Linked DNA regions of Mus musculus: all the other regions are reported to be linked to region 2. Evidence: microRNA targets listed by miRTarBase, many of them from high-throughput screens and not tested one by one. Region 2 holds a microRNA gene; each other region holds the end of a gene's coding sequence.
Evidence for each region. The annotated mature microRNA mmu-miR-410-3p reads AAUAUAACACAGAUGGCCUGU and lies in region 2 at 1,894-1,914, shown strand. An mRNA with a match to its seed (bases 2 to 7 or 8) in the 3' UTR can be bound and repressed. Matches are read on the target gene's strand: a 7mer-m8 pairs with bases 2 to 8, a 7mer-A1 pairs with bases 2 to 7 and ends in A, and an 8mer does both.

Region 1 (3,000 bases), not on the chromosome of region 2:
TACAGCCGCATATTTCTGTTATGTGTATTAAGGGGCAGTATTTGTTATTTCCATATCTTGGAAGCCATATCTGCTACAGCCATTAGACTAAAGGTTCTTACCGTGTCTGCAAAATATCCCCCATGTATTTAAATTATTTCTCTTCTCCTGGTTTTATATTAGGTTAATATTTAAAGGTAACATAAATTATTGAGGTTTATTCTATTAGTCTCAAACCAAAAGATTGTGAAGTTTTATGTTTAGGATATGTACAAATCTGCTTTACAAATATAAATCCTTGATAGCTTGAGGCTTTCTGCTCCTATGCTCTGACACACACTGAAGGATTTGGATCTTTTAATTGATTTGCTTTTACTAGACAGACATACCTTTGACTGCCTTTCTTACTCTGTTGGGTGTCTCCCCACCCTACCCTCAGCTTCTGCAGCTACTCTGATCAACATCCGCAATGCCAGAAAACACTTTGAAAAGCTGGAGAGAGTGGATGGACCAAAACAGTGTCTTCTCATGCGCTAAACATTGCTGAATATTGTTTCACACAAAAATTGAAACACTGTTTCTTAATTTTATTGTTGTATTCATATATGTAGGATTTGAAATATTGTGATGCCCACCACGTCTGTATTTCTTCTCTACTCCCCAGTCTTAACGTTTATCTTTGAATGCTATTTATTCAAATAGCGTGAGGAGTTAGAAGATGAGGTGTCTATGATGTTGATGTAATGTATACGTAGGCGATATATGTAAGTGTTCTGATAACATGACTCTAATGGTGTTTAAGTGTTCTGATAACCTGCTTTTAATAGTTGTGTATGCCAAAGTCTTTCCCAGCACCTCTTGTATTCATTATCAAATATATACATGTAAGTTTGAAGTATTACTGTTTTCTCAGCATGAATTAAAAATATTCTGTAACTCAGCCAGGCAAGGTAGCTCATGCCTGTGATCCCAGCATTTGGGAAACAGAGGCAAGAGGATTGCTGCAAGTTTAAGGCCAGCCTGTCTACATAGGGAGGTCCAGGCCAGGGATGTATATCAAGATCTTGTTTCAAAAAATTATATATATATATATATATATATATATATATATATATATATATATACCTTAACTTCACTTCAATGTAAATAAACTTCTGCTGTTAGGGATTCCAGTGTCTGTGTTTCTTTTTCTTGTATCCTGAGCTTTTCACTAAGGGCAAAAAATTACATTTATACTAAAAAAAAATGGAACTTGCTTCCTAGGAAAAAGTATAAAATAAAGTTCACTAAAGAATGAACAGGGCTGGAGAGATGGCTCAGTGGTTAAGCACCTACTGTTCTTCTAGAGGTCCTGAGTTCAATTCCCAGCAACCACATGGTGGCTCACAACCATCTGTAATGGGATCTGATGCCCTTTTCTGGTGAGTCTAAAGACAGCTACAGTGTACTCATTATCAATTAAATAAATAAATCTTTAAAAGGAAAAAGAAAAAAAATGGAGACAGATTTTAGCCTCAAGTTCCAGGGAAGAGTTTAAGTGTCTGATATCTGTGATATCTGAATTTTACAGTAACAAGGAAAACACAAGAAGCTACTGAGCAGGATGGGTATGTGACTTCAATGTTTAAAAAGTAATTTATCTATACTGTATAAACTGACAGCCGTTGGAGATGCTATATTAGTAATCCAGGCCTGATCTAGATTGAAAGTCTCCAGGGCAAGCTCAGTGGGTCAAAGCCCTCACAGCCAGGCCAGGTGAGCTGAGTTTGATTTCCACAAACTATAGAGTGGAAGGTCAAGACTGTTTCTTGGAGGTTGTCCGTATGTGCCCACATGTATAAACATATACACAGAGACTGAATAAATAAAATGTTGAAAGATTAAAAGTAGTTCTAGGAAGCAACTAGAGAATGAATGAATAAAACCTGGATAGAAAGTAAGATTTACGAGATGAAAAATTTTGACGTCCAACAGTGGTTACTATTTTATTTACATATTCCAAATAGGAATGGACCTTAAAACATTAACTAGAATTGCCATAGCTTCAAACCTTTTCAGTTCCCATTAGCACAAAACAGGACACAAACATGTGTTTAGAGATACACAACACTATAGACTCATCTCATTGCTCCTATACTTCATGGTCTGTCTTCCAGGGCTAGCGAGATGGCTCAGTGGTTAAGAGCACCGACTGCTCTTCCGAAGGCTCTGAGTTCAAATCCCAGCAACCACTTGGTGGCTCACAATCATCTGTAACAAAATCTGATGCCCTCTTCTGGAATGTCTGACAGCTACAATATACTTACATATAATAAATGAATAAATCTTAAAATGTCTTCCAGTGTCAGGTGTTAGGATATATCCCTTTAGATTACGTAGAGAGCTATTGACTCAAAAATAATAAATAGATAGATAGATAGATAAAATAAATAAAATAAATAATCTAAATAAATAGATAGATAAAAGGAAACAACAACTAAAGATAAAGAAATATCTTCCAGGATCAGTCTCACACTGTCTTGGTTTATTATTCCCAATTGAGAAATAAGTACTTTTCATTAAGTTGAAAATACCATGTTTTTAAGTAGCCTATGTTCATATGAACTGAAAAGAACATCATGGGAGTAGTTTTAGAAGCTGTATTCATGCAAAGAAGAAATCTTCTAGGTAGATATTCTAGACTCTAAATAAAAAGACCAATAGAATAGAGAGGTCTGCTTTAGCCTGTTCTCATCTTTAATGTTTACAGTGGGATTTGGAAAGCCTTCTTTAAATACATAGATAAGATAATGAAAGCATGCATATGGCAATGTGGGTAGAAATAAAAAGGAGAAATGTGAAAATGACCCAATGAAGTGATGCTTTCTATACTAATATGTGAGCAAATGGGACAGTGGTTCTCCAATGTCAATATATACCACAATCACTTGGAGATAGCTCATTAAAGAGCATTCTTTGGGCCTAAAATGGTTTAACAGGTAGGAGTACCCATTGCTATTGTACAGGACCCAGGTTTGGATC
Region 2 (3,184 bases):
TTCTAGGGCCTGCCCTTCCTTGGGTTTCCATGTTGCCAGCTCCCAGGGCTAGGCTTAAAGACGTACCCATTGTTGGTGCTGAAGGGCTAGGCCCGTACGGGAGGTCATTTTAGAGTGGATGTATCCAGGGTCTAATATACTATCTGGGGTGTGATGAGCACCAGGTTTCATGGTGGCTCTCTTTCCAAAAGGATCTTTACCTCAAAGGACTCCAGAGGCTACATCATTGTCTTGGAACTGGTCAGTGGCTGGAGCTCTCTCCAGGACAAGTGCTTGGAGGAAGAACCTGGACAAGCTTCCCTCCCCATACTGTTGACTGGATCTTGTAGCTACCGTTAGCCACCATCATCGCCATTGTGTGCCTCTTAGGAGCATTTCCAGGAGGTGATGCCAGCTGGGGAAAGAGCCTCTGTCCCACAGGTCAGTTTCCAGAACACCTACATGAAGCTGCCCGTGGCGTCTTTTCCCCGTATGACACACTGCATGTGACCAGTCTCTTGCTGCCCTGCAGCAAGGCTAGAAGCCTGTGTGAACTCTTGCCAAAATCAGAGAAGGGATTCTGATGTTGGTCACACTCCAAGAGTTTTAAAATGAGTGGCGAACACAGAATCCATACTCTGCTTATGGCCTAAGTCAATGGATCCTGACCCTTACTGGAGAGCCCTCCCTGGCGTGCTCGTGCGGGGCAGCCATACACACTGGCACAAGGGGACCCTGCGGGATCTCCTTCCGCTGTTCTTTCTCTCCTCCCTCCATGTTTATCTTTGAAGCATTACTTGCTTGGTTTATAGGACTGGATGGTCAAGCAGTTCTTGCTATGACATCACCGTGGGGGGAGGGGGCAGGTGACAGGGCGGGGATGCCAGGGTCGTGGGGCTGCAGTGGTTGGGTGGGCCCAAGGAGGAGCATCTCTGGATGATGCAGTCATTGCCTCCTCGCTTCTGGAAGGCATCGTCTCTGGGAGGGTGGTGTGGTATATGCGCAGGGTCTCAGCATCTCCCTATCTCCAGCTTACAAAGGAGAGATAGAGTAAGCAGAGTTCTGCACCCACTTCTGCCCCGAGTCAGCTCCTCGCTACCTGGGTCTCAAGGTTGTCTGGGAAGGCTTTAGATATTCTTGGAAGGTGAAAGGGTGGTAGATTGCACTGGGGAGGTGATGGAATAATTGCTTTCACGTGGTGGAGGGTGGCTCCTCACTGAATGGGGAGTTATAATCTCTGAGGGGCTCCAGGATGGTTCTTCTGGAAACTCAGCCATCGGCCTCGTTCTGAGCATCCGAGCCTCTCCGTGGTACTCGGAGAGAGGTTACCCGAGCAACTTTGCATCTGGAGGACGAATGTTGCTCGGTGAACCCCTTTTCGGTATCAAATCCCTCCAGGGAGGCCACCTCAGGGAAGACCATGGACTCATCTCGCTCTGGGGTATGGGACGGATGGTCGACCAGCTGGAAAGTAATTGTTTCTAATGTACTTCACCTGGTCCACTAGCCGTCGGTGCCCGCTGCAGCCTGCGCCCAGGATGTCACAGCCTCAGCTCAACACCTCTGCTGGTACTTGAAGGGAGATCGACCGTGTTATATTCGCTTGGCTGACTTCGAATAATACATGGTTGATCTTTTCTCAGTATCAACGCTCAGCTTGGAGAAGCTCTTGGAGTTGCAGCCCCTGTGGGGGTGGGGACAGCATGGTGCTTCTAGGTTGCTGCCTCCGCGGGGAACTGGGCTGGGTGGAACAGGCTGTGTGCTGCCTGTGTCAACCCTACTCACCATTTATATGCAATCCCCCCCTTCCCCCCAGGACAGCTTCAGGTGGTGATTCCAGCTCCAGGGTTGCTGCGGTCAACACTGGGTACTTGAGGAGAGGTTGTCTGTGATGAGTTCGCTTTATTAATGACGAATATAACACAGATGGCCTGTTTTCAATACCACCTGCCACTCCGGTCACTCGGCAGTACATACCAGGTGTCACACCACTGCCCGGTAGGTAAATGCATGGACTCTGTATGACGCTTGTCACCCCCTCTTCACTGAACCTCAGCTCTGAGGAGCCTCCTGGGATCGCACCAACCTTGTAGGCTGGGCCACGAAGCATTGGCCAGATGTGCAATGGATGGCTGTCCACTTTCCATGCCTCTTTCCCGCCACAACAATGGGTGTTTGTCCCTGTCTAAGGCTTCCACCGAGGGCTGCATGCTCAAATGCCCTGTACCCTGGGTGCTTCTCAATACCATGAGGGCTTGGAGGGGCTAGCATGATACTTAGGGAAGAGCCAGGCCAGTTGGTTACACGTGCAGTTCCTAGTATCTGAGGTGAGATTGCCCGTGACGGGTTTCCATTCTTAATGCTGGTACAGTGCATGGTCACCTCTCTTTATCATTGGCTCTTACTGTGTGAGCATGGGTGTCAGGGGAGGGACACACTTTGCTGACCCACTGGACACCACTGATGGTCAGGCATGTAGCTGACTCATCCTGACCCAGAGCCTCACATCTCCTGAGGTGGGGGTTGGGAAGTCCAGAAGGGCATCTTAGAGGAAGAAGCATCCTAAGTAGAGTCCGTGCTGGTGGTACCTGAGCTAGCTTGTCTCTGAGACGTTTGTTTTCTATCTGATGACTATCCCACAGCCTACTTCTCTGCACCATGTCCTACCCTAGACCATTTCTACTTTGAGGCATTGATGCCAAGAACTGAAGCCTTTGTGTTGGTTGACTCTCTAGTCTGTATGTGAGACCATCCCTTGGCCTGTCTTGTCCTCAGTGCCACCCTGTTGGAAATAGCACAGAATGTCCTCCTGAGTCTACAAGGCAGTGATACCCAAGCTCTGTCCCTGCTTCACGAGCACAGGGGGCCCAGTAGGGATTAGCCTGCACTTCTTTTTTTTTTTTTTTTTTTTTATTTTTTTTTTTTTTTTCATTTTTTTTTTATTAGGTATTTAGCTCATTTACATTTCCAATGCTATACCAAAAGTCCCCCTTACCCACCCACCCCCACTCCCCTACCCACCCACTCCCCCCCTTTGGCCCTGGCGTTCCCCTGTACCGGGGCACACAAAGTCTGCGTGTCCAATGTAGCCTGCACTTCTTCATGTTTCCTCCAACTTAACACTCTGGCTCTGTCAGACTCCTGTGAGCTTACTGTAGAGGCTTGACCTAGAGTCTCAAGGACCCCAGAAAGTACCTGATCACAC
Region 3 (3,000 bases), not on the chromosome of region 2:
CTCAGCCGCAGGCAGTGTTGCTGTTGGGAGCAAAAGCTCCTTGCTCCCCGCTGCGGTAGCAGTAGTAGATGAGTACTTCAAAGAGAAGTATTCAGAGCTCTCAGGAGGTGATGACCCTTTGGTTTACTGGCAGAGGAAGGTGAGCATATGGCCAGCTTTGACCCAAGTTGCCATTCAGTATCTGAGTTGCCCCATGTGTAGTTGGCAATCTGAATGCATGTTTACCACAAATAGCCACTTTCATCCAAAGCAGATCATGAACATGGACTTTGATAATATAGAACAGCTCATATTTCTGAAAATGAACTTGGAGAATGTTAACTATGACTATTCTACATTGATTCTGAGCTGGGACCCTGAAAATAAGGCTGTTCAGAGCAATGAAAAAGAAATACTACCTTAATTTCCTTTTCCTTGTCCTACTTAAAATGGGCAGCTTTCGCTATATTACTATATCTTATTGCTGTTGTTACTATATGTAGTCGTACTATTTATCCTTTTAAAAAAATGGCTGGGTGTGTTCACAGTGCCTGTAGTCCTGGCTATTTGAGACACTGAGGCTGGATTATGACTTTAGCACATGAGTTTGAGACCAGCCCAGGCAACATGTTAAGATCCTGCCTTACAAAAATGAAAAACCTGAGGAAATCCGAAATTACAGAAAGACTGAAAACTCCACAGAGGCAGTGTAACGATGACAAAATGAAGGTTAACTTTGAAAATTTCACAGTTGTAACTCAGTGTAACTAACATCTATCAAAGTGTCATTTGTATCACTTGAGAGAGAGGGCAGTGTTAATGAGAAACACAGTGAAGCGTTGAAGGACTTAGGTATTTCTGGTTGGTAGATTGAGCTAGTCATTGATTAGAGTAAAAACTTCTTCCACTGTGGAAGATTGGGTTTCAGTTATTATTTATATAAATACAGTGATTCAGGACTTCTATGAGCACAAAGGTGTTTAGAATGTGTTAGTGACTGCATTAACATAGTCTTTCCCTCCCCTGTTTTTTAATTTCTTTAAAACCCCTGACACAGCTTGACAGAATGAAAACCCACAAAATTGTTTCATTTTTAGAAATTATAGTTGCCTCACCCTGGTCAGTTTATAATGTCAGGTTACTGGGTATGATAGAATTATCTTTTATATTTAGGATTGGGTCTATATAAAAGGGAACATTACAAAACAATTAGAAAATGACTTTTTGGTCTTTGATTTGCTTTTTATAATATAGTACCAAAAACAGGGATTATATAGGTGCCTTTAAAATAACCCATTAGTAAAAAACATTAGATGTTTGTAAAATCAAAAAACAAGCAAGCCTCGTGAACGTGCAGACCCCATGTGAGTTTCCCAGAGAATATTTCTAGAGCTTGTTCATTTTTTTCAAGGGTGCTCCTGGTCCATAGCATGATGTTCCTAACTGCAGTTTGGAACTGTATTTTTAACTGAGATAAGCAGTTGAAACTTTACTGTGTTAGGCATCATTGCTGAAATGAGTGAACTGTCTCAGTGGCCCTGCAGGTGCCTTCCCACTCGGAGAGTCTGTTTCTGTGACTGAGTGGGAGGCCACAGAGAGCTGACTTTTAGTAAGTCTATTAGATGTTTCAGATTGAATAACTAATGTAAGATCCCAATTTTTCCTTTTTTTTCATTTTAGATTTGGGGATATTCCCTGCCCAAAAAATTCCTGGAAAATTGACTAGTATTAAGTGTGAGTAAAAGGTGTCCACTTTTTTTTAAGTCTTGATTTTAGTTTTGTCTTGGATAGTATTTGGCAAGATTTAGCCTAGAAAGTCTGTAGTGTTTATTACATAAGAAGCAAAGTGACTTTGTTACTGGGCTGGTTTTGAAACTCATTTCTGTGTATTAAAATAACTTTTTTTTTTTAAATTTTAAATTCTTAAATGGTAAATGCACCATTCATTGTGAAGTGAAATTTTATCTCCCCCAAATTTACCCTTTTACCAACTGGAGTGAAGTCTTTAGCTCTAATCATCAGTTATCAGGAAGCCTTTGCAGGGCCAGCATTGAATGCCATGCCAGTGATGCTCTGTTGATCTAAAGGAAGAAGAGTAAGCATCCTGAGCATCTCTGTGCTTCCCGTGAGCATATCTGTGCTTCCCCCGCCCGCCTGCCCACCCGAGCTGGTTCAGAATGGCTGTAATGCTGCTCTGCCTTCTTCAGCTCGCTGCCCCACTCTGTAGTTACTCTGTAACTATACACTTGTACCTATTTTGGTTAAACACTCCCTGACGATGATTGTTAAACATACCATATACATTGACAAATATATGTATCTATCAATACATCCATCTATATGGATTTCATCTTGATTTTGTGACTGGGTAAAATTTAGTAGCATTAACTTCATGGTACTTTGGTATAAGAGTAAGTTCACTATTTTTATATTGAACCCAAATATAAAAGCTTTTATATTATATTTTAAAAGAATAGTTACCCAAATGTTTTATTTCTATACATTTGTGTGTGTATAAGCCTGTTAGTATATATTATATGGATATTATATACATAAAACACTTTATATTTTTACATACAGTATGCTTTTATTATACAGATAATAAAGATGGGGGAAGGTTTCTGTTTTTTTTCTTAATAGGTGAAGAAATCTTGAAGACCAGAAATTGGATCTTATTGAATTTTGGTGGTGTTTTTACTTTTTTCTTTTTTCTTTTTTTCATCTTTTTATTTTTAAATTATATTGCTCAGCTATGGAAGATGGATTTTTTTTAAATTCTTTGAATTTTAAGTTCATCTTTAAATGAACTTTTGTTGTTATTTTTTTATTTTTTTGAGGAGATAACTAATGCTAGCTGTCTCCAGTCTGACAGAGGTTATACAAATGGACTTAATCTTCCAGGAGTTGGGAGATGTTTTAAAGATGTTTTAAAAACACATCCTGTGTTTCAATTGTGGCTGAGAGGTTTCCTTGGCAATGTGAGGAAGAAAATTCTTTCTACCTCATTATTATTAATTCATG

Region 1: miRTarBase lists Rragb as a target of mmu-miR-410-3p. Seed matches in the 3' UTR shown: 7mer-A1 at 1,057-1,063.
Region 3: the mRNA of Zbed6 is a reported target of mmu-miR-410-3p. Seed matches in the 3' UTR shown: 7mer-A1 at 915-921.

The regions. Positions count from the first base shown.
Region 1 is chrX:153,170,798-153,173,797 of GRCm38, forward strand. Rragb (Ras-related GTP binding B) reads left to right here. Exons shown (of 11, transcript NM_001004154.2): 11 at 419-1,146. The coding sequence ends at 516. Among named protein-coding and RNA genes, the nearest start is that of Rragb, 32 kb to the left of the region's middle.
Region 2 is chr12:109,741,871-109,745,054 of GRCm38, forward strand. It overlaps Mir410 (microRNA 410), which reads left to right and starts at 1,845; the gene lies at 1,845-1,925. Mirg (miRNA containing gene) reads left to right here. Exons shown (of 8, transcript NR_028265.1): 4 at 192-420; 5 at 1,487-1,548; 6 at 1,796-1,977. Mir541 (microRNA 541) reads left to right here and starts at 539; the gene lies at 539-628. It overlaps Mir409 (microRNA 409), which reads left to right and starts at 1,288; the gene lies at 1,288-1,366. It also overlaps Mir412 and Mir369.
Region 3 is chr1:133,654,058-133,657,057 of GRCm38, reverse strand. It overlaps Zbed6 (zinc finger, BED type containing 6), which reads left to right. Exons shown (of 1, transcript NM_001166552.1): 1 at 1-1,179. The coding sequence ends at 403. Zc3h11a (zinc finger CCCH type containing 11A) reads left to right here. Exons shown (of 18, transcript NM_001276767.1): 2 at 1,660-1,713. Among named protein-coding and RNA genes, the nearest start is that of Zbed6, 5.3 kb to the left of the region's middle.